Linked DNA regions of Stegostoma tigrinum. The protein of the gene in region 1 purifies or fractionates together with the protein of each later gene. This does not show direct contact. Links are inferred from orthologs where the notes say so. Each region holds a gene or a part of one and is shown in the gene's direction. Other genes may lie near its edges.

Region 1 (7,787 bases):
TGTTTTGCTCAACTGAAGCCAGATTTCTTTATTTCTGGATTGAAAACCTCTGTGATAAAGGTTGACTGTGATCTATGAACAAAAACACCTGTGTCCCTGTCTGAATCCTCTTTGTATCTTTCTCAGAACTCACATCCCATCTTGTTTTGTGTCATCTTCGATAGCCAGAGACTTTTCCCCAGGGCAGGATTGACTGCCATGAGGGGTCATAGTTTTAAGGTGTTAGGGGAAAGGTATAGAGGAGACGTCAGAGGCAGGTTCTTCACCCAGAGAGTTGTGAGCGCGTGGAATAGTTTACCAGTGGTAGTCATGGAAGCACAGTCATTAGTGACATTTAAGCGACTGCTGGACATGCACATGGACAGCAGTGAATTGAGGGGAATGTAGGTTAGTTTATTTTATTTTTGGATTAGGATTATTCCACGGCACAACATCATGGGCCGAAGGGCCTGTACTGTGCTGTACTTTTCTATGTTCTATGTTCTATCTACAAACTTGGAAATATTACATTTGGTCCCTATATTTGAATCGTTGATATAGATTGTGAAAAGCAGAGATCCATGCATTGATCCTTGAGGTACCCCAATAGACATTGCCAATTTGAGAGTGACCCACCTGTCTCTCCCTGCTCCTCATCTTCTTTTTACATACGTATAATAGCTTTACAATCCATGTTTATATTTCTTACTAGCTTATGTTCACAATTATTCCCTTTCTTTATCCATTAAAATTAATGAGAAAAATAATCACCAATTAAACAACTGCTGGTTTTCCTGTGTTATCCCATTTTGATTTTTTTTCCTCAACTCAGTCAGTCCACATTGCAGCCAGACTAAACTGGATTGGATGTTGCACCACGCTGTTCTGTTCACATTCTTGCCTCTCACGCTATTCATGCCGCCACCCTCACGCTGTTCACATCCACTCCACACCACGTCCCCCACACACTGGTCCTTTTCATTCACTGCAACCCCACTTTACCTCTGTTCCTGTCTAACCACTTGGCATTCACACCCTTCTACCTGAGTTAACATGATGTTTGACATGGCGGATCTCATGCAGGTGGTAGTGTTCCCAAGCATCTGCTGCCATTATCTTTCTATAAGTAATAGGGGGTGGGTTTCTAAGGTATTGTCAAAGAAGGCTTGGTGAGGTGTGGCAGTTCATCTTTCATTTGATTTGATTTATCGTTGTCGCATGTATCTAAGTGCAAAAGTTGTGAGTAGTACAGGTAAATGATAGCAAACAAGGATATACAGATCATAGACAGAACGAGGCATACAGGTTATGGCTGCACAGAAGGTGCAAAACCAAGGTCAAAACTAGCAAGATAATAAAATGTGAGGCTGGATGAACACAGCAGGCCAAGCAGCATCTCAGGAGCACAAAACTAGCAAGATCAACATTATTTGAAATTAGAGAGGTCCATTCAGCAGTCTAACAACTGCAGGGAAAAAGTTGTTCTTCGACTTGTTGATGTGTGTTCAAGCTTCAGTGTTTTAAATGGTACCAGTCAAGATTATGATGAAATATTCTCTGCTTACCTGGACAAATGTGGCTCCATCAACACTCCAGAAGTTTAACATCATTCAGGGCAAAGCAGCCTGCTTGACTGGCACCCAATCTGACACCTTCAATGTTCACTAGTGACATACCATCTACAGGGTGCACTTCAATAACTGACCAAAAGGTCCTTATTGAAGTGGGGAAACACTCAGCATTGGGTGAGGTTGCAGATGGCTTGGGGAATGCATTGTTCTAGAGGCTTTGATGCTGGGACAGACGTACTGAGAGGTAAGGTGTCAGTGAGACAGGAACACTGAGCCAAGGACATTTTTTTATTGCTTCATGGAATGTGGGCTTTGACTCTTAATTATCTGGCTGAAGACAGATTCTCGAGACCTTTTAACTATTGGTGGACAAAAAAGCAGACCCTGAATCCACCTCAGTTTCAACATGGATTCAATCCAACACTGTTGCTGGCTGATCTACATGTTAGTCATGTAGCCAACAGAATGAACCTGGGTGGGGGAGGAAAGGGAAATAGGGTGAAATTGTGTATGAGCGAGGGAGATGAGGGATTGATGTGGATGAGAGGGTGGTTGAGCAGGAATGATAGGGGTTTGAAGGTGCCCAAGAACTAATGAGCAGGGTGAGGGTTGGGTGAGAGCAGTGAGTGAGGTGATGGTGAAGGTGGCAGTTGGTGTGAAACAATAAATGGTGAGATTGGTCGGGTGTTGAGAGTGGTCAAGGGGATAGGAAGTATTGAATATGCAGGTGGAATGAGGGTTATTTGTTGTGTAGTTGGGGGTGTTTGGTGATTCGGTGAGTGAGATTGAAAGACTGGATTGGTAATGTGGAGGAATGAGGTTTGCAATGTTGGGGTGATGGATGACATAAGGCTGGGTGATGATCATGTGGGTGAGACTGAGGGGTTAGGGAGATAGATGAGAGAGGGATGATATTGGGGATATGGAGTAACTTAGTTTGAGAAACTTGGTCAACATGGGTGTATTGTACTGAAGAATTTGTTTCCATGCTGTATGACTATGTTAAACATGTGGATGCCGGGATGTGAGTGCTGTTGGGGTGGATTACGTGAATCAGGTTAAGTGGGTGAGTGTGGGAGGAGGCTGGGATTTGGGATGATGAAAGGGGGCTAAGGTGGCTGTGGTTGAGTTGGGTGATAGAATGAGGTGTGTTTTGGGTTTGGGTGGGCTGTTTGAGGGAAGTGGGCATGTGGGTGGGCTGGATGTAGTGGAGAGGACTTGGGCTGTGTAAGGGGAAATAGAGGGGTAGCTTTGAGGTTGTAGGCATGAAATGATGGTGCTGTGGGGTATGTTGGTTTGTGTAAAGTGGGGAGTGGGATATTTGAGTGATGGGGAGAGGAGAGGCGGTTTAAGGGCCCTGGGTTATTGGGGATGGGTGTGAGTGGATTTAGAAGTCTGTTTGAGGGTGTTAGAGGACATGAGGAGTGGGAGTGTGAGGGGTCTGTGGGGGTTGGTGGGCTATGAGGAGTTAGGACGTGAGTGGTTGGAGTTGGTGGTGTGTGTCTAGGGAGTTTGGTGAAGTTTGAAGGGGTGTGAACTATGTGGGTGTGAGGGCACCAGTGGGTGTGAGGTGATGAAGTAGGTGGGTTGTGAAGAGATTGTTGGCATATGATAATAAGGGATGTGGGGGGACTGGGGTTGGAAGTGTGAGGGGGTGGGATAACAGGGGGTTAGTGGGGTGATAATAGATGTTGCTGTTGGGGTAGGTGTGGGCTGGTGGTAAGGTTGTTGCGGTGGTTAACATTGTGGAGTGGGAGTGCAGGAAGGTGGGTATATGTGAGGGTAGACAGTTACTGGTCTGTGAGGGGGTTGGTGGTAATAGAGTGCTGGATAGTGGATGTAAGGGGGAGGAGGAGGGGTGGAGATGGGGGTTATAAAGGCATTGGGGGTTGGAAGTGGTGATGGTGGGGACGGTGGTTATGATCTGAGGATGTGGTGATGGTGGGTCCAGGGCTGGGGATAATAGAGTGAGTGTGGAAATGGTGATGCTGGGGGTTAAGGGTGAGGATTGGAGATGGTGGGGATGAGGGTGGGGAGGGGACAGGGTGGTGAGAGTGAGGGTTGGCATGGAGCAGGGTGGTGAGGGTGAGGGTGGGCATGGGACAGGGTGGTGGGGTTGAGGATGGGGCAGGGTGGTGGGGGTGAGGATGGGGATTGGACAGGGTGGTGGGGGTGAGGGTGGGGATGGGACAGGGTGGTGGGGATGAGGGTGGGCATGGGGCAGGGTGGTGGGGGTGAGGGTGGGGATGGGACAGGGTGGTAGGGGTGAGGGTGGGCATGGGGATGGGGCAAGATGATGGGGGTGAGGGTGGGGATGGGGCAAGATGGTGGGGGTGAGGGTAGGCATGGGGCAGGGTGGTTGGGGCGAGAGTGGGGATGGGACAGGGTGGTGGGGCTGAGGGTGGGGATGGGGTTGGGGCAGGGCTGAGGATAATAGGGTGAGTGTGGGAATGGTGATGGTGGGGGTTAAGGGTGAGGATTGGGGATGGTGGGGGTGAGGGTGGGGATGGGACAGGGTGATGGGGGTGAAGCGGGGATGGGGCAGGGTTGTGGGGGTGAGGGTGGTGATGGGGCAGGGTGGGGGGGTGAGGGTGGGGATGGGGAAGGGTGGTTATGGGGCAGGGTGGTGAGGGAGAGGGTGGGGATGGGGCAGGGAGGGGGGTGAGGGTGGGGATGGGGCAGGGTGGGGGGGTGAGGGTGGGGATGGGGAAGGGTGGTGATGGGGCAGGGTGGTGAGGGAGAGGGTGGGGATGGGGCAGGGAGGGGGGTGAGGGTGGGGATGGGGCAGGGTGGGGGGGTGAGGGTGGGGATGGGGCAGGGTGGGGGGGTGAGGGTGGGGATGGGGAAGGCTGGTGATGGGGCAGGGTGGTGAGGGAGAGGGTGGGGATGGGGCAGGGAGGGGGGTGAGGGTGGGGATGGGGCAGGGAGGGGGGTGAGGGTGGGGATGGGGCAGGGTGGGGGGGTGAGGGTGGGGATGGGGAAGGCTGGTGATGGGGCAGGGTGGTGAGGGAGAGGGTGGGGATGGGGCAGGGTGGTGGGGTGGGGCTGAGGGTGGGCATACTGCGTGTGGGAGGGAAGATTGGGTTTGTGGGTGTCGGGGTAAATTTCTCCCGCCCACTCACTTAGCGCCGCTCTCCTGTGGATTACGGCATCGCTTCTTGCTGGCGATGACGTCACCACAGGTCCGGGCGCAATGACGTTTCTGCGTGCGTCACGACGCTGTGTGCACTACGTCAGCGCTGCGGGGGAGTTGCGGCTCTCGCTGGGTTTCTCGGGCCGCTGCCGAGCGATCGATTCCCGAACCCGCGCCTACCGGCCCTTTCGCTGCCCGGCTCCCCGCCGAGTAGGCTCAGCCAAGGCCCGGCCTCGCTTCGCTTCTTCTCATCCGCCCGGCGCGTGCTGCGCAGCGGTTGTTCCCAGGGTTTTGAATCGCGCCGGGGGCGAGTGCGCGCTCCCGAGCCGTGGCCGCCATGAGTGTGGACGCGTACGGGCCGAGCTCTCAGACTCTCACCTTCCTAGACACGGAGGAGGCCGAGCTGCTTGGGGCCGATACGCAGGGCTCCGAGTTCGAGTTCACCGACTTCACTTTACCGTCACAAACACAAACACAAGGCCAGAGCCAAGGGCCCATCGAAGGCCAGGTAAGGAGCGACGGGGCTTCCCGCACTTCCCCCCCCCCCCCCGCAAGGAAAACACGCCAGTCCCAGGCCGCGCGGCCTAAACACAGGATGTACGAACTAGCCCCCTTCCCCACTCGAGCCTACTTTTCCGTGCGGGCTCTGAGTGTAGTCCCTCGTTGCTGCTTCAGCTTCGGCTGTCGGGTTTGTCGGCTAGGACCCACATGGAGGGCAGGAAGCGGAGGCGAGAGGTGGCGAAGGCTGGGCCTTCAAAGGCCCGATTTTTTTTGTGGTGGGTGGGTGTGGGGGTAGTCACTCTTGCTGTCTCCCTGTGTCCCTTCCCTTTCCCCCCACCCGAGCCACACTACCTTCACTCCCGACAGACCTGATATGTCCTTCCTCTTCTCCCCACCCTGTGCAGTACCCCGATGGCACTTAATGCTAGTGGAAGCTGTAATAGATACGATGGGAATATACGGAGTGAGGAGCTGTTGAAGTGTTGGTTGGAGGGAGTAGTGCAAGTGGGCTGCTGGTCTGAGAGAAGGTTGTTGGAATTAAGGGAATGAGGCTGGAGCTCCCTGATATGCTAGATCGATTTTTGTGTTTTGTGTGTAAGTGCTGATGTGAAAATACACAGGATTCTCCACATTCTGATTTCCCTGCTGCTGCTTCTCAACTTCATGAAAATAAGCCCCAATTCAACTGAACTCCTGTTGCCAGCTCCATTGGGTTCATTTTAGTTGACATATGCAACCTGAGGCTTTGGGACAATGATAATTTGGTGAAGTGAAGACCCTCCACCTAACCACCCAAAAGCAGATATCAGGTTGCCACTGTTTTGGAAGTGAGAGAAAACTTGCAAAATACCTGTTCTTGTTTAAAAGTGACAGTTGGTTGCATCAGCAGCAGGAATAAGTGCAATAAAATTCCATGTAAAGATTCTGAGTGACCCACCTTTGGTATTAGAGTATTACTACTCTACAGTGGCCTGAGAGAATAGGCATTGTATAATCCAGAGACGATGAAAATTGCAATAAGTGCAGGTAGGAAGACAAGTTAGATGTTTTGACTTCAACAAGAATTATTGGACTTGTGGGTGAATCATGTATTTGTAGTTTAGTTGTTTTGGCCATTAGAACTTGTGAAGTTGTTGAGGTCAGAGTAAGTCCCCATATACTCGGTCCTCAAAACATCAGGGGTAAAACAACTGAGGGAACAGTTGTGTGGATTTCTAGCGTGGGGTATATTTAGAATTCTTAAAGTTCAGTTGAAGTGGTCGTATGTTTCTCAAAGCTCATGAAAACACCACACTACATTTTATAAGCTAAGTATTTATTTGAACATTATAGTTGAGCCAAAATTACAGTTTGAACCATTTCAATATTGTATTGATGTACCGTGATGCTGGGGTAGTAAATAATGGGCTTGGATTTGAGGCAAGTACTGAATGCTGTTTGTTGTTCTGATGTACTGTCATACCTGTCAAACATTTAATCTCACTGGAAAAATAGCATGTTGAAGGAGCTATGACTTGCATTTAACCACACACCTAAGACAGAGGGTAATGACCAGCATTGCAGCTGTGTGTATTTGTATGTAAATGTACAATATAGAACAGTATAACAGAGGAACAGGCTCTCTGGCCCACAATATTCTGCCAACCATGCTGCTGTCATTAACAAATCCCATCTGCCTGCACAAAGTTCATATTCTGTTATTCATGTGACTGCCTAAATGGTGCTTAAATGTTGCTATCGCATATCCTTCTGTTACCTACTTTGGCAGCGCATTTTGGGTACCTGCCACCTTTTTATAAAAACATTTATTTCGCACCTATCCTTTTAAACTTTCCTCCCTCACCTTAAACCTGTGCGTCCCAGTATTTGACATCCGAATCCTGGGGAAAAAAGACTCTGAGGATTCACTCTATCCATGACTTTCTAATTTTTATATACTTTTATCAAGCCATTGTTTTCCCCCTTCCTACAAAAACTTCGATCCTAACAAAAACAGTTTGTCCTGACCCGAAACGTCAACTTTCCTCTTCTCTGATAATGCTTAGCCTGCTGTGTTCCTCCAGCTCCAAACTGTTATCTCTTGACTTCAGTATCTGCAGTTCTTACTATCTCTGAGTTAAGTTTGGCCAGTCTCTCCTTATACCTAATATACACCAGTCCAGGCAACATCCTGGTAAACCCCTTTTTGCATACTTTCCAAATTCTCAACAGCAATCCTTTTGTGTGGTGACTAAAATTGTGCGCAGTACTCTAAATGTGTGTGTAAGAAGCAGTATAATGCTTCATTAGAAACTTTTTAATTTTGATTCTATGGTTGCAGTTTAGGTTAAGGTGTGCTTATGGACATGTTTTATGTTTGACTGGCAATATGGCAGGGGGCACGTAACCATGTCCAATGAATTATTGTGGGGGGAAAAAAAACTCAGGTTGGTTGTGATGCTTCAAGCTGTTTAAGATATATTCTGTCAGCACAGTCCTGACTCAAAACGTCAACGTTTGTACTACTCTTTTGCCTGGCCTGCTGTGTTCCTCCAGTTCTAAACTGTTGTTATCTCTATCCAGTAACATGGTGTTTTTGGTGACCTCTGCTGGTCAAGGTTAAG
Region 2 (7,533 bases), on another chromosome or scaffold:
TACACACATCTGTTATCCGTTAAGTGGACTAGGGTAGACTGAAGATGGGCACAGTGATTTTGAAGAACTGGATAAAGCTATTATCAATTACCAAAAGTTGGCACTGACTCACTTATATGCCAGAAGGAGCCAATTAAAGGAAGGAGGCCACTCTGACTGAGAGCAGAAAAAGCCACCGGTAAATACAAACATTGCTCAAATCTGCAAAGTGAGGAACAGGATACAAGATCAATAGTTTGGCAAAATGAGGAAGACCACAAAACAGAGTATGAGCACTGTGGCATTATTAATAAGCCCTGTTGCTTCACTACTTTTTTCTCGATCAGTTCTGCCATGTGAAATTTTAATAAATGCTCCCCCCATTTATCACGGTTCAAATAATGGATCTCTTGCCTTGTTTGTAGCCTCAATAATGTCCTACCTTTCTTCTTCTATTGCACTTTGTCTGTATAGTTTCTAATTTGCCCTTAATCACTTTAACTCTAGCCCTGTAAGATTCTCAGGTCTGCGGCTGTGTCTTGAATTGCTTCTTTGGCCCTTTCACTGTAGTTATGCCTTATGCCTGCTTTTACGGCAGCAACACTCAATCTGAACTTGTAAGTACTGTGAGATAGTAAGAACTGCCAATACTAGAGTCAGAGATAACACAGTGTGGAGGTGGAAGAACACAGCAGACCAAGCAGCATCAGAGGAGTAGGGAAATTGATGTTTCGAGTTGGGACCTTTCTTCTGAAAAAATGTAAGTACTGTGCTTACTTGAAGGTATCACAACCTGTAAACTATGCCTTTTTTTAAATGTTATCCCTTGCCCAGCAGGGATTTAACCTTTACTCCCAGAGCATCCCACATGTCTATCTGCTCTTCAGCTGAAACCTGAATCAGGACCAGTCTTACAAATTATCTGCACTGATTGGTGCTCCATCATGTTGCTAGCTCACTCTTGCTGCTGTATGCTCCTTACCAGGTTTGAAATGTTTCTTACAATCAACTGTAGATTTTGCCTTCCAGAATCTTGTCCTGAAACTTTCCTTTGTAAGGTTTTGAAATATTCATCTCTTTTAACTGCTGCCTAGTTGAGCAGTTTTCTTCACGCTCGTCAGTGTCTGTAGGACTTTGTATGCTACAGCTAAATAGCATCTGCACTGCTTGCTACCAGGTTGTAAGCTGAGTCTGCTCTATAACTCATCGAGATATTAGATTTGCCTGGTAATTTGTTGTCATTATCCTTTACCTTGAAGACATCCAGGGCCTTCTTGATCTAGTCTGGTAGAGGGAACCTACCTGGTAGCCTGTTGAGAACAGGCTCCTGCTTTAAGCAGGATGTAGTTTACTGCATGATAGCAACAAGTACTAATTGCACTGGTATGATAGACATTTGCTACTGAGATAATGAGTAATGTTACGTTTTACTCCTTTGCAAACCAAATCTATTCCAGCCCAAATTCATGCAACATCAACAAATTCGGTGGTGCTTGACACGCTCCTCAGCATTACCCTTTTCAGTCTCTTACACTTTTATACACAATATATCTCTATATTCAATGGGAGATCTGTAGTTATAGTTCCTCCACAAGGGGAAACATCCTTCCAGCATGAAATTCCAGTAAAAGCATACATAACTATGATTTCTATAAATTGTTACGTCTCTACCTTTCAAAAAATAGTAATAAGTTATTTGAATCAAGTCTTTGTTCTGCATAATTTGCACTCAGTACTACCTTGCACTTACAAGGTAACCAATCAATATTTATGTAATGTTCTCATGAGCTTTTACCTGTTAAACAGACATCTGGAGAGTCTCAGTTGCACTGTTGAATATATTAAACAATCAAGGAGGCATTCAGAGGCAAAGAGCAGTTAAATGACAGAAGTGTGCTTTCAGGTATTCTACAATCTCAGTACTTGAATAAATCAGTTGGTCGACTTCCCAGTCATCAGAATATTGGTCTACGGTGACAAGATAATCAGTTCCTGCAAGAGTGAAGAGATCCAGTTCCAGCTTCATCCATGGTCTATCCAAAATGTCATGTGATCCACAACTCTCTAGCCTGGCATGCATCACAGGCAATGCATTGGCTGATGTGATCTTTGATTTAATTGCTCATGTTTATCAAACAGAAACTTATCTTCCACAAATTCAACTCATTTCCATTGCTGCCTTGCATGGATGCACTTAGCATCTCTCATTTCAACTTCTCCAGGACAACGATTCTGTTTGTTTTCATACATTATGCCACCTTGGACTGTCAATTCATCTCTTCTTGCCCAGTACACCCTTGTAACCACAGGACTGTCCTTGATGCTTTCAGACCATTCTTCCTTCATCACTTCTTACAACACTTGAAAATTTAGATCTTGTTAGATGGTTTTCTTGACTGGGGTCTGATAAACTCAATTTTAATGCTGTGTTCTGGCTTCCAGAACATGTTGAGTAGATGATTCATATTAGATGTAAAAGATTTTACACTCTGATGCATCATCCTCAACTTCCTATATAATAGACCCTAGCCTTGACAGCATTTCAGCCGTGCACATGTGTTTGCTTTGCTCATATGTTCCATCCAGATGATACCTCCAGCCAACTGTCTCTGTGATATTAGGGCAAATCTTGTCTTATTGGCATCTCATTGCAGGGTGAAGCAGATTAGAGGCTAAGAATTCTGCAGTGAGTAATTCACCTCTTGCCTCTCTGAACGCTGTCCACCTCCCAATGTTAGGAGTTTGGTATAATATTTTCTACTTGCTTAATGGGTACGGCTCTAACAACACTCAAAACCTCAATGTAGTGTGGAGGTGGATGAACACAGCAGGCCACACAGCATCAGAGGAGCAGGAAAGCTGACGTTTTGGGACTATATCCAAAAACTCAATCTGATAACCTGATTTATAAATCCAACAAATTGTTGGACTGCTACTATATCTATTGGTCTCTCCACTGCTGTTACAGTTCTCACCTTTTTGGAACTTAGAGAAAGAATTTTTGTTGTCCATACATGACCTATGTCCATGCTTCTGAGTATCCTAATTATTATTTTTAATTGTTTAGCTTCAGCTGGCAATCTCTGTCCAGCAACCATAATAGATTTCAATATGGTCAGGATCATTCATTATGTCTCCATATCCATAAACTACTTGGCATCTCTCATTCCAACTCTTTGGGAGCAATGAATCCATTTGCTTTGTATAATACGCAATCTTAGACTGTCAATTCATCTGTATATGCCCAATACACCATATCCATCATCCACTATCACGTTGACTCCAGGAACATCATTCATCATCTCATGCTGCCTACCTTGATATTTCTCTGGAGCTTTTGAAATGCCAAATTGAATGTACAACTATCTGAAACAAAAGCAGAAATTGCTGTAAAGACTCAGCAGATCTGGCCATGTCATTGGAGAGAAAACAGAATGAACGTTGTGAGTGTTTCTCCATCACAACTATGGAATGATTTGAACAGAAAAACCAAAGAACTGCAGATGCTGGAAATAAAAAGCAAAAATAGAAATTGGTGGGAAGACTCAGGTTTTAAAGGGTTCTGAAGCATTGGGGACCTGACTAGGACCCATGGGCACAGCCTTAAAATTAGACGGGGTAAATTTAAAACTGAAATGAGACGACATTTCTTCAGCCAGAGAGTGGTGGCCTTGTGGAATTCATTGCCGCAGAGTGCAGTGGAGGCCAGGACGTTGGATGCCTTCAAGTCAGAGATCAACAAATTCTTGATCTCAAAAGGAATCAAGGCCTACAGGGAGAGTGCAGGGAAGTGGTGTTGAAATGCCCATCCGCCATGATTTAAATGGCGGAGTGGACTTGATGGGCCGAATGGCCTTACTTCCACTCCTATGTCTTATGGTCTTATGGAAATATTAACTCTGCTCTCTCCACAGATGCTGCCAGACCTGCTGAGTTTTTCTGTTTCTGTACAACTATTTCTAAAGCCCAGTCCGCATTCAGATTGTAGCAAGAAAGCTACTGTCTTAATTCAGCTTCATTTCCTAGTAACCCATCTTCACATCTAGGGTGGTGACATAAAATTGCCCTTTCACGTTGTTACAAAATTTCTTTAATGGTTTGCGTGGGGTAGTGAGAATTTATCAGATCTGTATTTAGATCCTTTGAGTCAAGGCATACTCTCTGTTTTTCAGATTATTTCATTGCCACCATCCTATTGTAGCTGTCACTGCCCTTTTCCAGATCTTCAACCTTTATCTATCAAGCCTGGAGGCAGCCAGGACTTTCCTCAATACATACTGAACTGGTTTTACAACGTCATCAATTTAATACGATATTATTCAGGAATTTATCCTATACTACTTAAGGATCGGTTCCATAGTCAATAGATAAATGTATTATCTCTGTGATCATCTTTAAACGTAGAGACTTTGAAGACAAAGTATCGCTCCAATATTGCAAGCCCTTAGATACACCAGCGAAATCCACGCAGATGCCGTCAAAAACAGTAACAAGTCACCTCAACACGCACCCCGCTGGGCGGTTGGAGAGGGCGGAGTCAGCCCATCCGGGAGCATCACGTGGGAGGAGGCCTGTGAGCGTGCGCGTCATCGCGAGATGTGTCAACACGAGTGCGAGCACAGCAAGAGGTTGACAGAGTGTGCGAGCGATAGGCGGTGGAGTGAAGAGTGTGCGGAATGAAAGAAGAGAAAGAGAACAAGGGGCGCGAGCGGCGCGTGGAGATCCAGTTCAGAGACAGAGAGGAAGGGGAGAAACGCAAAGAGAAAGATGAAAAAAAGGAGGTGCTCACTAAGGTGTGGGCTGCGCTGCTCGCTTTCTTCCTTCCCTCAAGCACGAAAGCCGTTTTCTTTTGGGGGGGGTGGGTGTGTGTTCTAGAGCGTTGCGGGGTCTCCATGGTGACGTGGGAGTTAAAATGATGAGGCGGACGGTGATTGACAGATCGCGAGCTGGCCTCGAGTGCAAGGGTGGCTCACGCGGCTGCAATTATGCCTCCGTTGGATTGCTCGTTGATTACCGATTGATCTTCAGCATCATACTGCTGCGGTAATGCACATCCACGCGCTTAAGATCGATGAGGCTAAAATTTTCCAACGAATCAAACGGCCATTGTCCTGTCCTCTTTCATATGTTGTCATAGTCAGACTTCACAACCATCATCATGCTGGATAACGTAACGAGAATTCTCGTCCCAAATTTTTGTGATCCCCAATCGTGTGATATGAGACTGGTTCTGGATATTTTAAAAAGTAATTGCTTTGAAGTGGTGCAATTCCCGTTTTGGGTTAAAATGGAAGAATAGCATTTTGCGCAATCTGCGTACCTGTAGTCCCACACTTCACGTTGCCAGTTATTGTGATTTCGTTCAGGTCGTCGTTATAGAGGGAAGGGAATTTAATTTCTTTATTGAAAATATTCCCTCTTTACATCAATGCTTTAAAACTGACACCAACAATACAAGCCATACATATTAAAATGTTTCTAAAAGTGTTTTTTTTCGCTAAAGAGATCAGTATTTTGCACACAGCGATAACAGGAAATTTATAATTGAAAAGCTTTGATTATCGTTGCGTGATTTATTTGTAAATTTACTGATTGGCCGATTACACGTGGATGCTGTCGTCGCAGATGGACATGAGAGCATTAAGATGTTTATGATAAAGGCGGTGTATTCGTTGTAAGGGTCACCGGACCCGAAATATTAACTCTGGTTTTTCTTCACAGATGCTGCCAGACCTGCTGAGCTTTTCCAGCAATTTCCGGGTTATTGTTTTCTGATTTTCTACGCAGATTGGACCAATCAAATTAGCAAAGGTGAGGTTGAAGATCAGTTCTAGAATCATAGAGATATACAGTATGGCAAGAGACTCTTGGGTCCAACTCGTCCATGCTAACCAGATATCCTATATCTGGGGTGGCTCAGTGGTTAGCACTGCAGCCTCACAGCCCCAGGGACTCAGGTTCGATTCCAGCCTCTGTCTGTGCGGAGTTTGCACATTCTCCCTGTGTCTGCGTGGGTTTCCTCTGGGTGTTCCAGTTTCCTCCCACAGGCCAAAGATGTGCAGGCTAGGTGGATTGGCCTTGCTAAATTGCCTGTAGTGTTCAGGGGTGTGTGAGTTATAGGGGGATGGGTCTGGGTGAGATGCCTCAAGGGGCAGTGAGGACTTGTTGGGCCAAAGGGCCTATTTCCATACTCTAGGGAATCTAATCTAGTCCCCATTTGCCAGCATTTGGCCCATATCCCTCTAAACCCTTCCTATTAATATGTCCATCCAGATGCCTATTAAATGTAATCATACCAGCCTCCATAATTTCCTCTGGCAGCTCATTCCATATGTGCATCACACTCTTCATGAAAAAGTTGCCCTTTAGCTCCCTTTTATTATTCTTCCCCTCTCACCTTAAAACTATGCCCACTAGTTTTAGACACCACCCAGGGAAAATACCTTGCCTATTTACCCTATCCATACCCCTCATGATTTTATACATCTCTATAAGGTGTCAACCTCCAAAGCTCCAGGGAAAATAGTCCCAACCTGTTCATCCTGTCCCCACAGCTCAATCTCCAACCGTGCCAATGCCCTTGTAAATCTTTTCTGAACCCTCTCTAGCTTCACAACATCCTTCCTATAGCAGGAAGACTGGAATTGCATTCAGTACTCCAGAAGTGGCTGAACTAATGTCATATACAGCTGCAACATGACCTCCCAACCCCTGTACTCAATGCACTGACTGATTTCATGGAATTGCTTTTGCAAAATTGGAACCAATTAGGGGAAATGCATTTTTAGATTTGGCATTGCATAATGAACAGGGCTAGTTGTGTGGGAGCAGGCCATTTGGCCAGTTGAACCTCCTCAGAACTTCCTGCTCAGACCCACCCTGTACCTGTAACCTTGCAATTCCCATGGTCAGTCCACACATCCCTAGGCACTATGGGCCAATTCAGCATTGCTGATCCACATAACCTACCTGCACATCCTTGAACTTGGGAGGAAACCCATGCAGACACAAGGACAACGTGCAGACTTTAGGCACAGTCACCGAGGAATTGAACCCAGCTCCTGACTCTGAGGCAGCAGTGTTAACCACTGAGCCACCATACTGCACAATGTGATGCCAAACTCTTCTTTGATCATTGCCTTTGCCTCCTTGCCTACTTCGCTGGACAGGACCCCTCCTCTTTGTTCCATGGACCCTTTCACCGATCTTCAGTACCCAGCCTTCTGTCATCTTCTCTGCATTTCATCTCTTTATTGAGAACTGTCGACATGACATCAGCTGCCTTAATTTCTCTGCTCCCCTCACTGATGAGAACATATAACAGCAGAGCACAGGAACAGGTCCTTTGGACAACATATCTGCGCTGACCATGAGGCTATTATAAGTTAATCCCTTTGCCTGCATTTGGTCCGTATCCCTTTATTTCCTCTATGTTAATTTGTCTCTCTAAATGCCTCATAAAATTAGTGGCTGCTGTCTCCCCTGGCTGTGTTCCAGAGACCTCCCACCCTCTGTTTTTAAAAAAAAGTCTTCCCTCGCACATCTCCGTCAAAC
Region 3 (7,782 bases), on another chromosome or scaffold:
TCTCTGTTCTTGAATTCTAGCTGTCTTAAACTGAATGCAAACATTGCATTTCCCTTCCTAACTGATTCTGCAATGTTAACTTTAAAAAAGAACCCTGAATTAGGACTCTCAAGTGCCATTGTGCTTCAGATTTCTGAAGTCTTTTCTCACACAGAAGATAGTTTACACCTTTATTCTTCCTACCAAAATGCAAAACGTCGGAATACAAAATGGGGAAATTCTATCTGCCACTTGCTTGCCCACTCTTGTCCAAGGCCTTCTGCAGTCTCACTGCTTCCTACTTGCCTCTGTTGAGGAAGCAGGGAGGCTTCATATTTGAGTGCATGACAAGGACTCTCCCTAATATGATCAGGTGAGCTAAGCATTAGTTCTCCTAGAAAAGGCTGGACCAATTTTCTTTTGAAAAAGTGTACAATCAAATTAAGTCTACGGTACCTGAAGATTTTTGCACAACTACTCAAAGGGGGCTGCTTATGTGCAGAAACCTCTTGGCTGCATTGCAGCCCCAAACTTTGGAGGACGATTTACCACAACACAAGGATGCACCGAAAGACACTTCATAAAAAGCATACTAAACTGCAAGACATCACCAAAATAATAAATTTCAAGTGGCCGTGGATCCAAGTTAGCTGAGTATTCTTCTGTGGACAGGTTTAAAACTGCAGAGATAATGGGAACTGCAGATGCTGGAGAATCCAAGATAAAATGTTGCAGAGACCTCAGTGCCAGCTCTGTTCAGGTACAAACAGTCCAACGTGAATGGCTGCCATCTGCCCCTCATTGTCCCACTTCTTTCCCAGAACCGTTAGGGGCATTTAAACAGTCCTTGGATAAGCATATGGATAAATGATGGGATAGTGTAGTGGGAGAGGCTTAGATTAGTTCACAGGCCGGCGCAACAGAGGGCCGAAGGGCCTGTTCTGCGTTGCATTGTTCTATGCTCTAATAACAAGGTGTAGAGCTGTATGAACACAGCAGGCCAGGCAGCAACAGAGGAGCAGGAAAGCTGACATTTCGGGTCTGGGCCCTTCAGAAATCTGGCAATTTCATCACACTCCTGACTTCTATCTTGTAGATGATCCTCTTCAACTGATGCCCATACAGAGGCATTTCTAACAGAGGTTCCTGACACACAGCAGAAACAGGACTCCAAACTTATTCAACACAGGTACTGAGGCAATTCCGCTGGTTATTGTGGCAAAATAACAGTAGTGAGGGAGTGCTGCACTGTCTGCCATGTCAACTTTAAGGTGAGGTAGAAAAGCGAGGAAGGTTTTTTTACCCTTCTCAGGATACAGACTGGAAAAATAGGAGGAGAGGGGCCTTCCAAGGGCTCATTCATTAACACTCCTTCAAAAGAACCCGCGACACTTTAAAAGAGCTACTCCAATTCAAATTGACGTTGGTCAACCAACCCCATGACATAAAAGTATGTTTGTAGGAACAGAAAAGAGAGGAGACTGTAAGACATAGGGCTAGGTGTGGGCCATCTGGCCCCTCCAGTCAGTCTTCCAGTGCAAAGAGTTGACCTCAACCGAGTGTTACAGACTGGCACATTCCAAGGCCCAGGACTACGTGGTGAGGGGTGCACTAAAGCTGGGGGCAGCTATTGCTGCCAAGGCACAACTGGAATAGATCACTTTCTGCCAAAGTACACAGAGGGTACACAAAGTACACCCCGCCCACGGCAGACGACCTCATTGCTCCACCCACAACCCCAGAGTAGACAGCCACACTGAGCCCTGCTGAATCTTCACCATCCCCGCAGACCTCCCACTGACTGAGCATGAATGGTCAGTCCTAAGCAAAAGGGGCTCACCTTTGTCCCCCTACAACCACACATCAACGAATACCAGTCACGTTTGGACACAGCAGTTTTTCGGCCACCTTCGCCTCCACGCTTACTTCTTCAACCAGGAGCCTAGCCCTCCCTCCACTGACCCCTTCACCCGCTTCCAACACAAGTCCTCCTCCTGGACACCACCCCCAGGCATCCTACCCTCCCTCGACCACTTCATCAACTGCTGTCGAGACATTAACCACCTCAACCTCTCCACCCCTCTCACCCACTCCAACCTCTCCCCCGCAGAACGGGCAGCCCTCCGCTCCAACCCCAACCTCACCATCAAACCCCCAGACAAGGGTGGCGCAGTGGTAGTATGGCGCACTGACCTCTACATCGCCGAGGCCAAACACCAACTCTCCGACACATCCTCCTACCGCCCCCTTGATCATGACCCCACCTCCGAGCACCAAACCATCATCTCCAACACCATCCATGACCTCATCACCTCAGGGGACCTCCCACCCACAGCCTCCAACCTCATTGTTCCCCAATCCCGCATGGCCCATTTCTATCTCCTTGCCAAAATCCACAAACCTGCCTGCCCTGGTCGACCCATTGTCTCAGCCTGTTCCTGCCCCACCGAACTCATCTCCACTTATCTGAACTCCATTTTCTCCCCTTTGGTCCAGGAACTCCCCACCTCCGTCTGTGACACCACCCACGCCCTCCACCTCCTCCAGGACTTCCAATTCCCTGGCCCCCAGCACCTCATTTTCACCATGGACGTCCAGTCCCTATACGCCTGTATTCCTCATGCAGATGGCTTCAAGGCCCTCCGCTTCTTCCTGTCCCGCAGGCCCGACCAGTCCCCCTCCACCGACACCCTCATCTGCCTAGCCGAACTCGTCCTCACCCTCAATAACTTCTCTTTCGATTCCTCCCACTTCCTACAGACAAAGGGGGTGGCCATGGGCACCCGCATGGGCCCCAGCTATGCCTGCCTCTTTGTAGGTTACGTGGAACAGCCCCTCTTCTGCACCTACACAGGCCCCAAACCCCACCTCTTCCTCCGTTACATTGATGACTGTCTCGGTGCCGCCTCTTGCTCCCCAGAGGAACTCAAACAGTTCATCCACTTCACCAACACCTTCCACCCCAACCTCAAGTTCACCTGGGCCATCTCCAACACATCCCTCACCTTCCTGGGCCTCTCAGTCTCCATCTCAGGCAACCAGCTATTAACTGATGTCCATTTCAAGCCCACCGACTCCCACAGCTACCTAGAACACACCTCCTCCCACCCACCCTCCTGCAAAAATTCCATCCCCTATTCCTAATTCCTCCGCCTCCGCCGCATGTGCTCACAGGATGAGGCATTCCACTCCCGCACATCCCAGATGTCCAAGTTCAAGGACCGCAACTTCCCCCCCCCCGCAGTGGTCGAGAACACCCTTGACCGCGTCTCCCGCTATAAACAACTGCACCTCCCAGTTGCGAACCATTTTAACTCCCCCTCCCATTCTTCAGACAACATGTCTATCATAGGCCTCCTGCAGTGCCACAAGGATGCCACCCGAAGGTTGCAGGAACAGCAACTCATATTCCGCTTGGGAACCCTGCAGCCCAATGGTATCAATGTGAACTTCACCAGCTTCAAAATCTCCCCTTCCCCCACCACATCCCAAAACCAGCCCAGCTCATCCCCTCCCCCCACTGCATCCCAAAACCAGCCCAGCCTGTCTCCACTTCCCTACTCTGTTCTTCCTCTCACCCATCCCTTCCTCCCAACTCAAGCCACACCTCAATTTCCTACCTACTAACCTCATCCCACCTCCTTGACCTGTCCGTCTTCCCTGGGCTGACCTATCCCCTCCCTACCTATACTCTCCTCTCCACCTATCTTCTTTTCTCTCCATCTTCAGTCCACCTTCCCCTCTCTCCCTATTTATTCCAGTTCCCTCTCCCCATCCCCCTCTCTGATGAAGGGTCTAGGCCCGAAACGTCAGCTTTTGTGCTCCTGAGATGCTGCTTGGCCTGCTGTGTTCATCCAGCTCCACACTTTGTTATCTTGGATTCTCCAGCATCCGCAGTTCCCATTATCTCTGGTCCATTCATTTATCCATTTCTCACTTTTCTGTCTCACCTTAAAGTTGACACTGCAAACAGCACAGCACACTTTCACCACTGTTATCCCTCAGATTTAACCAGCAACAACTGCCTCAGTATCTGTGGTGGATAAGTCAGGAGTCCAATTTCTGCTATGTATCTCAGTGAGCTCTGTTAGAAATACCTCTAGTACCTCAATACATATCAATGTAACCCTCCTGAAGAAAGAAATGCCTTGTTTTATTTTTGCAAATGCAGAGAATGCCAAATTTAGATGTTTGTACGTTATTCATGTGCAAAGCCAGTATAGAAACGCTTACAGTAGCTGCTCCTGTTCCTCTGACGCTGCCTGGCCTGCTGTGCTCCTCCAGCTCCGCACTGTTTTGTCAGTGACTATGTATACTCTTTTTTCCTCAATGAATAAAATACATTAACGGCTGATCCGACATTCCAAACGTGCAATTTCCCAAACTTTCCCATCACCTTTCAAGATCGAGAATCTGACTCAGCCCCCACAGGCCCCTCAGCGAAAGGGCCAACCGACAACGGCTACAAGCTCCGCTGCTTACCTTACCGCCGTTCGTCCACCTGTGAACGTAGATGGTGGCGAGGCCAGGCACCGTCAGGCAGCCGGCCATGATGACAAGCCCGGGCAGGATCTCATACCACATCGCAACTCGCTCACAGCGACCTTCGCCAAGACCCCACTGCACACACAAACCCCAAGGGACTTCGTTTTCCCCACCACTTCCTCTCGCGATAACTGCCTCTCCTAGGAGAGGGCGGGGAATCTTGCGCAGCAAGCCCCGTGGCGATTGGTCCGTGGTGACCACGCCTCAAAAACCGTTTCCCCCTCCGGCGCGGACCAATCAGAAGAGGGGGCGGAGCTTGAGTGACGTGACAGGGAGCCAAAGGCTAGCCGGCTCAGTTGGAGTTGGCTCTGTCAGCGGGGTAGGCCTGTTTATTTTCGAAGCCGCAGCTTGCCTCCTCAAGGCATGAAGGAAGATAAGGAGAATACCAAACCCAGGGAGAAGAAAGTGGAGGTCAAATATGAGGAAAGGGCAGAGAAACCCGAAAAGAAGGAGAAAAAAGAGGTCTTGACCAAGGTTTGTGAAGCAACAGGCCTCAGCCAGGATACAGTCCAGGAGGCAATGTTTCCACTTAAATAAGACAAAGAACTGCAGCCCTCATCTGAGGGAGGATCACTGGACTCGAAAGATTAACTTTTTTTCTCCACAGATGGTGCCAGACCTGCTGAGTTTCTCCAGAAATTTCTGGTTTTTGGCTCCGCCTAAATGGCTTCCTTCGTAATCCGTGTTCACCATCATGGCTAAAATCTCACTGCTTCAGGTTCTGAGGAAGGGTCACCGGACCTGAAATGTTAACTCTTGTTTTCTCCTCCACAGATGCTGCCAGGCCTGCTGAGCTTTTTCAGCAACTTTGTTTTTGTTCCTGATTTACAGCATCCGCAGTTCTTTTGGTTTTTACCTCACTACTTGAAGCTGTCAGAGTGTTTGTGCAATGCTCCGAGGCAGTTAGCCTATTTTCTGGATAAAAACCGAAAGAACTGCGGATGCTGTAAATCAGGAACAAGAACAGAAGTTGCTGGAAAAGCTCAGCAGGTCTGGCAGCATCTATGAAGAAAAAAAAAATCAGAGTTAGTGTTTCGGGTCTGGTGATCCTTCCTCAGATCTAGGCTGCCCTAGGCTGCTTTCCGGTTTCCCCTCACAATCCGTTTTCTGTACGTAATTTTAATGAATGATTATTCTACCTCTTTGTGAGAAGCACAGTTACTTGTGACGACCACGCTAATCTCGGAGAATTGCATATTGTATGAAAATGAATTTGTGGCTGAGTCATTCCTGGATCTTGTTGCTGCCTCTCAATTACTGATTAGCTCTCCAAATACTTCAGATTTGTCTTAAAACAAAATGCTGTAAGTACTCGAGGTCAAGCTGCATCTGTGGAGAAAAACAGGTTTAACATTTTGCAATGTTTAAATGATCCTGATGCTAAAGTAGCTTCTTTATTGATGAATGTTTTGTCATTAGGATGTTTCTTCCATAATACTTTATTGATTGGGCTCTCATCACAGCAGGGTCGTCACCTTTGTTGCTAAATTGTAGTAATGGGATTGTTTGCTCTTGTTTTTGTAATTTGGATGTTGAGAGCTTAAGTAGCTCACTAGGTACCTAATCTGTGTGATCTGTTTCTCAATTTAAATTGCTTTGACATTTGACTTTTTTTTGGTAAAGAAGTAGCTGATAGATATTGAACTGCGTTTATCCATCAGGTGGTGATCCGTCGTTTGCCTCCAAGTCTAACAAAAGAGCAATTAGAAGAGCAACTTGCCCCTTTGCCTGAGCATGATTATTTCGAGTTTTTCTCTACCAATTCAAGGTAGGTTGTTACTATGACAGAATTTTATCAAATTTCTTTTAAATCACAAGGGCCACATTATCAAGGTGCCTTAAAAGCCAGAGGAGCTGCTATCTATTTTCTTTTTAACTCTTATTTATTATGAGGGCCTAAACCACCTCTGATATTAATCAGATATAGATGCTGTGGTGATATATTCATGGTCATGTCATCTGATGAAATCTTAGAACTGAGAAATGTTAGTTCAATTTGTGCGTATATAGCAAAACAATTTTAAAGTCACATAGATTGTAAGTCTGACGGACCATGGAATAGTTTTCAATATGCGGTCAATAAAGCTGTCAACTCAACTCCAAAGTCAGATCCCAGTTGTCTGTGGCATGTGAAAAGCTTTCAGATTGCTGTCATTTACAACCTATACTTTGTACCGTGCATATAGTTATTTGGGCTTTGCAGTGCACTATATTACGGCCATGTAATAAAGTGCTGCTTCACCAAATCTAACATTTAATGTGGTCCTGAGGGATGTGGATGAGCAAAAGCATAGTTCTCTTCTGGCAGACTGTCTACAGTTTTCACACCAGCTGCACTGGGGCAGTAAACGAAAGCAAACTATTGCATTGCTAGCAGTCTGAAACAAAAGAAGAAATTGCTGGAAATACTTAGACTGAGTAGCATCAGGCAGAAACAGATTAACGTTTCATGTCAAGGAATTTCTTCAGAACTGAAGTTTCTCTATCCAAAGATTCTGCAGTGTTTTGTATTTAATTTCAGTATAGATGCTGTTGTGTGCACTTGCCTCTATGACTACAGGTCTCAGAACCATACAGCAATGTTACAGCAGTTGTAAATAAACACAAATATGTATAATATGTGATTAAATTGATTTATTTTAGAGTTCAGCTTTGCTCAAAGATTAGTATACCACAGTGCTAAGATTCAATAATGTCTCAAGTCAGTCACTGCACCTGTTTCTAACTGAGCATAACCATTGTTTGACTCATGCTGCAGGAAGCATTTCTGTACTGCTTGCTTGCATCAGTGCTTTGATATTAAGTGTAAAGCCTTGGCTACAAACAGCTTGATTTTTGGACAGTGATTTCAGGGCATATAATCTTTAGTAAATTAGTCAAGTGGATTTTTGTTGTAAATCCTTCATGAGTCATTGTGTTTGATCTTTTGGGGAAGTTCCATCTGGTGTTTTGCTTTTGTTTATTGATTTTAAACTACTGTATCAACAGTAATTTCAAAAATACATTTCAACCTTTTGAGTTAAATGCAAAAGTTTTATTTGAGTTTTTGTCTAGTATTCAGGCACTGGTTCAAATTCTGAACAAAATAAACGTGTAGCCTACAAAAGGGGGCAGGACCAAGTTGAAGAAAGATGTAGAAATTCCAAGGGCAAAGTTAGAGGCAACGGAACATTAAGTGATGAGGGTGAGGACAAGTAAAATGAGACAGGAAGAAGCAGAGAGTTTACAATAGTAATTGTAAGTTAGCGAGTAAGTTCC
Region 4 (7,930 bases), on another chromosome or scaffold:
TCTTCTCTTGCCTTAAACTTATGCCTTCCAGTTTTGGACTGCTTACCCTGACAAAAAGATCTTGTCTATTTCCCCAATCTGGGCTCCTCATGATTTAAAAACATCTGTAAAGGTCACCCCTCAGCATCCCATGGTCCAGGGAAAATAGCCCTAGCTTATTTAGCCTTTCCCTGTAGCTCAAACCCTCCAGTCCTGGTAACATCTTAGTAAATCTTTTCTGAACCTTTTCTAGTTTCACAACAGCCTTCCTATAGGAGGGAGACCAGAACGGAATGCAGTATTCCAAAAGTAGCTGAACCAATGTCCTCTACAGCTGCAACATGACCTCCCAACTCCTATATTCAATCCATTGACCAATAAAAACAAGCATGCCAAACCCCTTAATTGTCCTGTCTACCAGCAGCACCACTTTCAAGGAACTATGAACCTGCACACCAGGGTCTCTTTGTTCGGCACTCTGCAGTTCTCTGTTTACAAATACTCTGACTTTACATTCTTTTCACCAATGTGAAAAATACCATCTTTTTCAACATTGTACTTCATCTGCCACATTTCACCCACTCACTCAATCCATTTACCCTTCTGCAATCTCATGTCTTCTTCACAACACACTATTCTACCTATCTTGGTTTCTGCTTAAACACTGAGATGAAACTGCTTTAACTTGAATTGAATAAGCTTTATTCTCATGTACTCAGATGGACACAGTGGAAACTTTATAAGTCACCACTTACAGTACCATCTTAGATACAAAGTTATTTAGGTACAATCCTTAATTACAGAGTAGAGAAATGATGAAAAATATTACATCACAGCTAAACACAGCATAACCATTAGGTCAGACAAGAAGCAAAGTTAAAAAGACAAGCATTACATTTTCTCACCAAAGGCTTTCCGCAGCAACAGACTGATGCAAGGGTCCTCTGCATGGTCTGGCCACTGGGCTGCTGGCATTCCCACTCCTATCACTGGCACCCAGTTCCAGGCCAGTTGTAGACATGTTTTCCCTGGATCACTGTTGTCCAGGTGTACCTATATGCTGCAGCCTTGACACATCAGCTGGTCTGTCACCTTTAGTGGATTCTAAATCTTAGTATTGTTCACTTATTTATTTTAGTTTGTATATATTTACCACCAATTTAGACACTATGTTAGAACTTGGAATAGACTAGATCTTAAGCTCGTAGTAAATACTCACCGAAGAGCTGGCTCCTTTCCCTGTAAGTGGAACGATAACAGTTCTTTCCGGGTGAGAAAAGCAAAAGCAAGCAAACACCTCCTGCCCCCTCCAGCCCCTCCCTCCAACCACCACCATCAGACCCCACAATGCACCATACTCCCACACACAAAATTCCCAGGTTTGCACTCAATTTCCTTAGCTGCAAAACACATCGTAGGAGTAAATATGATACCACATACAGAAATTAGAAGAGTAAAGCGAAGACTTACACTTATACAATACTTTTCATTATTTCTAGGATATCCCATTGACTCATGGTTGGAAACATAGGAAATAGGATCATGTCTTTCAGCCCATTGATCCTGTTTCACCATTCAACATGATCATGGTTGATTTTCAATCCACACCATTGTCCTCGTCATTGCCCATGGCCCTTGATGCTCAGTCACATGTCACAAATTTCATTGATGAGAACAGAATTGAGTAAAGGGTTAAAAAACACTGACCATCATTAGCCAGATCCAGTACTTTGAACTGAGTTAAGTCACTCACTATCAGCTCTGAATCACCAGCTTGTGGATTTTTGACTCCACGCTTTGACTCCAGAATGCTACTGAGGGAATACTGACTGGTTTGCAGCCCAACAAGAAATTTTCACCACTTCTGTTTATTTTCCAGCTTCTGCTTGGTTGCTGATATCGTTGGCCACTTTTTCATAGCACTATTCAACACAGAAGTCCATTGCACCTGTGCCAGCACTTCGAAAGCACTGACCAAATATGCAGTCTCACTGCATAGTGTTTCTTTTCTGGGGATTGGCTGTCCACTAATACCTATTACAAAACTGGCCACTTCCATAATTACCACAAATACACTTCCTCATACCCTGCTTCCTGCAGGACTCCAGTTTGTTCTCCAGATTTCTTTGTCTCCCTTGCATCTGTCCCAATGATGCCACCTTCCACCAGGCTGTCTCTGACAACCTCCTTTTTCCCTCAACTTGGGAAGTTCCCCCCCCCCACTGTGGTTGACAGGGTCTTCAGTCATGTCTGACCCCTTTCCTACACTTAGGTTCTCACTCCTTTCAAGAACAACAGGGATCCTTTTGTCCTTACTTTCCACCACACTAATCTCCACATTGAAAGGATCATCCTACTCCATTTCTGCCACTTCCAGCCATTAATAAACGCATCTTACCCAGCATTCCACCGGGACTATTCCATCCCAAACCCCTAGTCCACTGTTTCATTTGTCCTAACACTTCCTCACTCCCATTCAATCAGAGAATGTAGCACTTGCCCTTTGGCTTCCTCCCTCCTCCACTTCAGGACTTTACAGCCTCTAGAACTCAACACTGGATTCCACAACTTCACAGCATGACCTGTGTCCTCCACTTTGAGCACAGCAACCAACACACACCCCCGGGTGCACAAACACAGACCCCCAGCCATATCTTCTTTGTGTATTTTTCACTTTGCACCCAAAAAAGCAGACCTATTTTCTGCTTTTCACACCTACCATTTTACATTTCTATCACTTTTTTACGCCATTAGCACTCCTCTGTCTTTTACCCTGGGATCCTCAGCATCTGTCGCATCGGATCCCCCCAACTAGCCCAAGAACCACAGATTTCCTGCCCCTGAGCTAGTAGGAACTTCAGATGCTGGAGAATCTGAGATAACAAGGTGTAGAGCTGGACGAACACAGCAGGACAAGTAGCATCAGAGGAGCAGGAAGGCTGACGTTTGGGGTTCTGACATAAATAGGGAGAGAGGGGGAGGCAGATAGGAGATGATAGGTGGAGAGGAGACAGACAGGTCAAAGAGGCGGGGATGCTTGTGAAGTCCACATTGATACCATTGGGCTGCAGTGTTCCCAAGCTGAATATGAGTTGCTGTTCCTGCAACCTTCGGGTACCATTATTGTGGCACTGTAGGAGGCCCAGGATGGACATGTCTGTGGAATGGGAGGGGGAGTTGAAATGGTTTGCGACTGGGAGGTGCAGTTGTTTAGAATGAACCGAGCGTAGGTGTTCTGCAAAGCGGTCCCCAAGCCTCCACTTGGTTTCCCCGATGTAGAGGAGGCCACAACGGGTACAGCAGATACAGTATACCACATTAGCAGATGTGCAGGTGAACCTCTGCTTGATGTGGAAATTCTTCTTGGGTCCTGGGATGGGGGCAAGGGAGGAAGTGTAGGGGGAGGTGTAGCACTTAATGCATTTGCAGGGAAAAGTGCTGGGTGAGTTGGGGTTGGCGGGGAGTGTGGAGTGGACAAGGGAGTCACAGAGAGAGTGGTCCCTCTGGAGAGCAGATAAGGGGAGGGAAACGTCTTTGGTGGTGGGGTTGGATAACAGATGGCGGAAGTGTCGGAGGATGATGCGTTGGATCTGGAGGTTGGTGGGGTGGTATGTGAGGACAAGGGAGATTCTGTTTTGGTTGTTATTGCGGAGACGGGGTGTGAGGGATGATTTGCGCGAGACACGGTCGAGGACGTTCTCGACCACTGAGGGGGGATGTTGCGGTCCTTGAAAAACGAGGACATCTGAGATGTTCGGGAGTGGAATACTTCATTCTGGGAGCAGATGTGGCGGAGTCAAAGGAATTGGGAATAGGGGATTGCATTTTTGCAGGAAAGTGGGTGGGAGGAGGTGTTCCAGGTAGCTGATCCAGAATATCTATTCAGTTCCTCCACCATTTCTTTCTTTCCTATTATTACTTGTAGACATAATGCCCCAGCCAAGCTGTTCCAGCACAGTAACAACACTGGCATCTACCCAACGATGTGGGAAATTGCCCTGGCATGTCTATACACAAAAAGCAAGTCAAATCCAACCCAACCAATTATCGTGCAATCACTGCTCTCTCAGCCATGGCAAGTGTAATCAAACGTGCTACTAGGTAGTGGAGCTGGATGAACACAGCAGGCCAAGCAGCATCTCAGGAGCACAAAAGCTGACGTTTCGGGCTTAGACCCTTCATCAGCTTTTGTGCTCCTGAGATGCTGCTTGGCCTGCTGTGTTTATCCAGCTCCACACTTTGTTATCTTGGATTCTACAGCATCTGCAGTTCCCATTATCAGTGCTACGAGGTAGTATCTGCTTAGCAAAAACCTGCTCAGTGACACCCAGTTTAGCTTCTGCCAGGTCCATTCATCTACTCACCTCATTATAGACCTGGTTCGAACATGGACAAAAGAGCTAAATTCCAGAAGTGAGGTGAGAGTGACAGCTATTAATATCAAGTCTACATTCTACTAAGTGTGGTATTAAGGCTATAAAGGTCCTACAGAAGCAAATATTTTCGCTGATAATAAAATGTGAGGCTGGATGAACACAGCAGGCCAAGCAGCATCTCAGGAGCACAAAAGCTGACGTTTCGGGCCTAGACCCTTCATCAGAGATGTGATGAAGGGTCTAGGCCCGAAACGTCAGCTTTTGTGCTCCTGAGATGCTGCTTGGCCTGCTGTGTTCATCCAGCCTCACATTTTATTATCTTGGAATCTCCAGCATCTGCAGTTCCCATTATCTCAAATATTTTCGCTATCTGGTTAGGGCCTGCCCCAAGTGCCTGCTTGTCGTTAAAAAAGAAATTGGGTGTTGCAAATTGCATTTGCAAATGGGCAATATTGCAAATGTTCTGCTAAACTTATTTCATATCCCTGGGTTTGCACCATCCATTTCCCATTTGTAATATAATACACCCTGGGTTTGCATCACGGTTGAACCTGCTGTTTAGGCCAAAATGATTCATTCGTATCCCAAGTGTAACTATGATTCGAGAGTAAGTTTCGCTTTCGTTTCCAGTTTGAATTTTAATTCGGTTTACAGAAACTCGGAAAACAAACGAGTTGATTCAATTGTTGTCGACCCTTCTGTAAAGCTGCAATACTTGTTCAAACTTTGAACCCCGCCCCCTTGTTTCATTTACTCCGTTTCACTGCGAGGCCGGTGTTGTTCATTTCAGTTGGTAATTTAAAAAAAAAACAAAAAGCATCGAAATGCCCAAGAAATTTCGCCTCAGAGAGTTGCGTGAGGTGGGGCTGAAGTTTATGGAATTTCTAAAGGACACGAAGCGAGAAGAAGTGACCGACTTGAAGGCCATTAAAAATATTTACAATTCCGAATTCCGTGGCAGGTAACGTGTCGTTTATTCTGTATCAATGAATCCCAGCGCGGGTCGGGCGTGTTTGCTACTTTGCCGGCGTGTATCCAAACTATTGCTACTTTTTAAAAAGAGATGTTAGGGGTTTCTTCACTTGAGTGCACACCTGAAATGTCTTGATTGTTAGTCGCTGCTGAACAGCATGGCTTGGAGCTTACAGCAACATTTGGAATCCTTGCAAGAGTTAAAGGGAGTAGTTTCAGTTCGGGAGGGAGGATGGGTGGGGATAGTTCGATTGGCTGTTATTGTATGAGAAGCATTTTGTTGGAGTTTGTGGAGCTTTGTTTCTTTGTTTCTTGGTTGATGTTGTGGCGGATACTTGAAATTGGCTGTTGTTGATTGAGACATGAATTTTCTACTGGAAATGGCCACCACTTTCAAGAAAGAATGTGGAAATAATCAAACAAATTAATTGTCCCCTTTTTCAAATGTCCCCCAACCTCATCTGCTCCCCATTACACCCTTGCCTGACCTAACCCAGGCCACCTGCCCCCCATTCTCTTCCTCACCACTCTCATTTTATTGCCCCCAATGTATCCCTCACGCTATTCCCCTCAGTTCCCTCAATCCACTCCTCCCACCTTACCGCACTGCTCCTCATGCCAGACAGACATTTTGCTTCTTCACCCTACATGCCAACTTGTACCCAGACAAAAAAATAAGTAAAAGTTGTAAATGACACTCCCTAATTCGACTTGTATACCTTAAAATGGAGTTTCAGCAGCATGTTTGATTCCAAATATAACTGTTCTGCTTTTTTATTTGTCTTCTGGGTAAAGTTCCATAGAAGCATAGAAAATTGAAAGAACTAGGCCATTCTGTCCATCAGGTCTGCTCTGCCATTCCATACAATCATTCAACTCAATATCCTGTTCCCACTTTCTCTCCACACCTTTTGATCCTGTTGGCCCTAAGACATAAGTCTGGTTCATTCTTGGTTCCACTTAACTGGAGATAATATCCTTCCCCAATATTGCACTAATTATTCAGTTCCCATTCCTGGTCACTATGCAGCCACATCTCCTTAATCCCAACTGTGTCATACCTGTTTGTGTCTATCTGTGTGACTAATTCATCTACTTTATCGTGAATGCTCTGTGTGTAATGACACATTGTCTTAAGACTTGGCTTTGTAATATTCTACGCCCATTCACCTTATTTAACACTGTGGTCCTGTATGATTCATGCCCTTGAATTCTCTGCCCATTACTTTTCTTACTTCCTATTTTGTTTGTTTAACTGTTTATACAAGATTAAACAATATTCACTGGATTCAAAACCAAAAGCCAATTCTTATTCTTTTGAAGAGTCTTAGTGGGCCAAGTGGAACAGAGCATGACAGTAGGCCGTTCAGCCCTTTGACCCTGCTCTGCCATTCAGTAAGGTCACATCTGATCTAGTAATGGCCTCAGTTCCGCTTTCCTGCCTGCCCTCCCCATAACACTTGACTTGCTTGTCTATCAAAAATCTATCTATCTCAACCTTGAGTTAATTTAAATACTCACCCTCTACTACCTTCTTGGGAAGAGAATTCCACACTCTGAGAGGGGGGAAAAAAAATTCTATCTCTTCGTTAAAAACAAGACCTCTGATTCTTAACAAAAACCAAATTACTACAGATGCTGGAAGAAGTAGGCCATTCAACAGAAATTGCTGGAGAAATTCAGGCAGGTCTTGCAGCATCTGTGGAGAGAAAGCAGGTCAGTGTTTCAAGACTGATGACTCGTTTGTTCTTCAAAACAGATACTGGAATCAAAACAGTGACTCTGTTTTCTCCCCACAAATGCTGCCAGACCAGCCATTTGTTTCTTTTTCTCTGACTCTTGAACTGTGTCCCCTAGTTCTAGTATCCCTCACAAGAGAAAATAACCTCATGAAATCCATCTTACCCAATCCCATCAGGAACTTGTTTCAATAAAGTCACCTCCATTTTTCAAAACTCCAATGAGCATAGGCCCAACCTGTTCTTACATTTTTCATAATATAAGTCCTCAATCCAAAAGTGAACAAAGTGTGGATACTGAAGATCTGAAGGAAACAGAAAGGGAAATTGCTGAAGAAACTCTGCATGTCTGGGAACACCTGTGGAAAGAAATCAGATTCAGTGTTTCGAGACCAGTGTCTTTTTTCTTGGAGCGGTGACTGGACTCAAAATGTTACTCTATTTCTCTACCAAGATAACAAAGTGTGAAGCTGGATGAACACAGCAGGCCACACAGCATCTCAGGAGTACAAAAGCTGACGTTTCGGGCCTAGACCCTTCATCAGAGGTCTAGGCCCGAAACGTCAGCTTTTGTGCTCCTGAGATGCTGCTGGGCCTGCTGTGTTCATCCAGCTTCACACTTTGTTATCTTGGATTCTCCAGCATCTGCAGTTCCCATTATCTCTGATCATTTCAATTTCTGTACCAGATCTGCTAAGTTTTTCCAGTGGTTTCTATTTGTAGAAAAGCTTTCCTACTTGTATATTCCATTACCCATGCCATAAGCAACAGTGTTTCATTTTCCTTCAAATCACTTGCTGTACCTGAAAACTAACTTTCCATGATTCATTTATCAGGCCATCCAGATTCCTCTGCAATCTCACT

What was found.
Region 2: the proteins of upf1 (region 1) and upf3a purify together in Homo sapiens (affinity purification with western blotting; 5 studies listed by BioGRID and IntAct, with this or other methods). This does not show direct contact. The link is inferred for Stegostoma tigrinum from reciprocal best matches to the Homo sapiens genes UPF1 and UPF3A.
Region 3: the proteins of upf1 (region 1) and upf3b purify together in Homo sapiens (co-immunoprecipitation; 16 studies listed by BioGRID and IntAct, with this or other methods). This does not show direct contact. The link is inferred for Stegostoma tigrinum from reciprocal best matches to the Homo sapiens genes UPF1 and UPF3B.
Region 4: the proteins of upf1 (region 1) and putative helicase MOV-10 purify together in Homo sapiens (affinity purification with mass spectrometry; 3 studies listed by BioGRID and IntAct, with this or other methods). This does not show direct contact. The link is inferred for Stegostoma tigrinum from reciprocal best matches to the Homo sapiens genes UPF1 and MOV10.

What each region holds. Positions count from the first base shown.
Region 1 is NC_081383.1:306,347-314,133, forward strand, and holds the start of upf1 (regulator of nonsense transcripts 1), read left to right. Parts: upstream 1-4,770; 5' UTR 4,771-5,020; coding exon 5,021-5,191; intron 5,192-7,787. UniProt on the Homo sapiens protein: RNA-dependent helicase required for nonsense-mediated decay (NMD) of aberrant mRNAs containing premature stop codons and modulates the expression level of normal mRNAs.
Region 2 is NC_081359.1:66,907,471-66,915,003, reverse strand, and holds the start of upf3a (regulator of nonsense transcripts 3A), read left to right. Parts: upstream 1-4,533; 5' UTR 4,534-4,655; coding exon 4,656-4,772; intron 4,773-4,909; exon of another isoform or gene 4,910-5,022; intron 5,023-7,533. UniProt on the Homo sapiens protein: Involved in nonsense-mediated decay (NMD) of mRNAs containing premature stop codons by associating with the nuclear exon junction complex (EJC) and serving as link between the EJC core and NMD machinery.
Region 3 is NC_081368.1:16,065,224-16,073,005, reverse strand, and holds the start of upf3b (regulator of nonsense transcripts 3B), read left to right. Parts: upstream 1-4,780; 5' UTR 4,781-4,887; coding exon 4,888-4,998; intron 4,999-6,185; coding exon 6,186-6,292; intron 6,293-7,782. Other genes in the region: ndufa1 (NADH dehydrogenase [ubiquinone] 1 alpha subcomplex subunit 1), read right to left, coding at 4,462-4,563. UniProt on the Homo sapiens protein: Involved in nonsense-mediated decay (NMD) of mRNAs containing premature stop codons by associating with the nuclear exon junction complex (EJC) and serving as link between the EJC core and NMD machinery.
Region 4 is NC_081374.1:4,742,905-4,750,834, reverse strand, and holds the start of putative helicase MOV-10, read left to right. Parts: upstream 1-4,915; 5' UTR 4,916-5,179; coding exon 5,180-5,316; intron 5,317-7,930.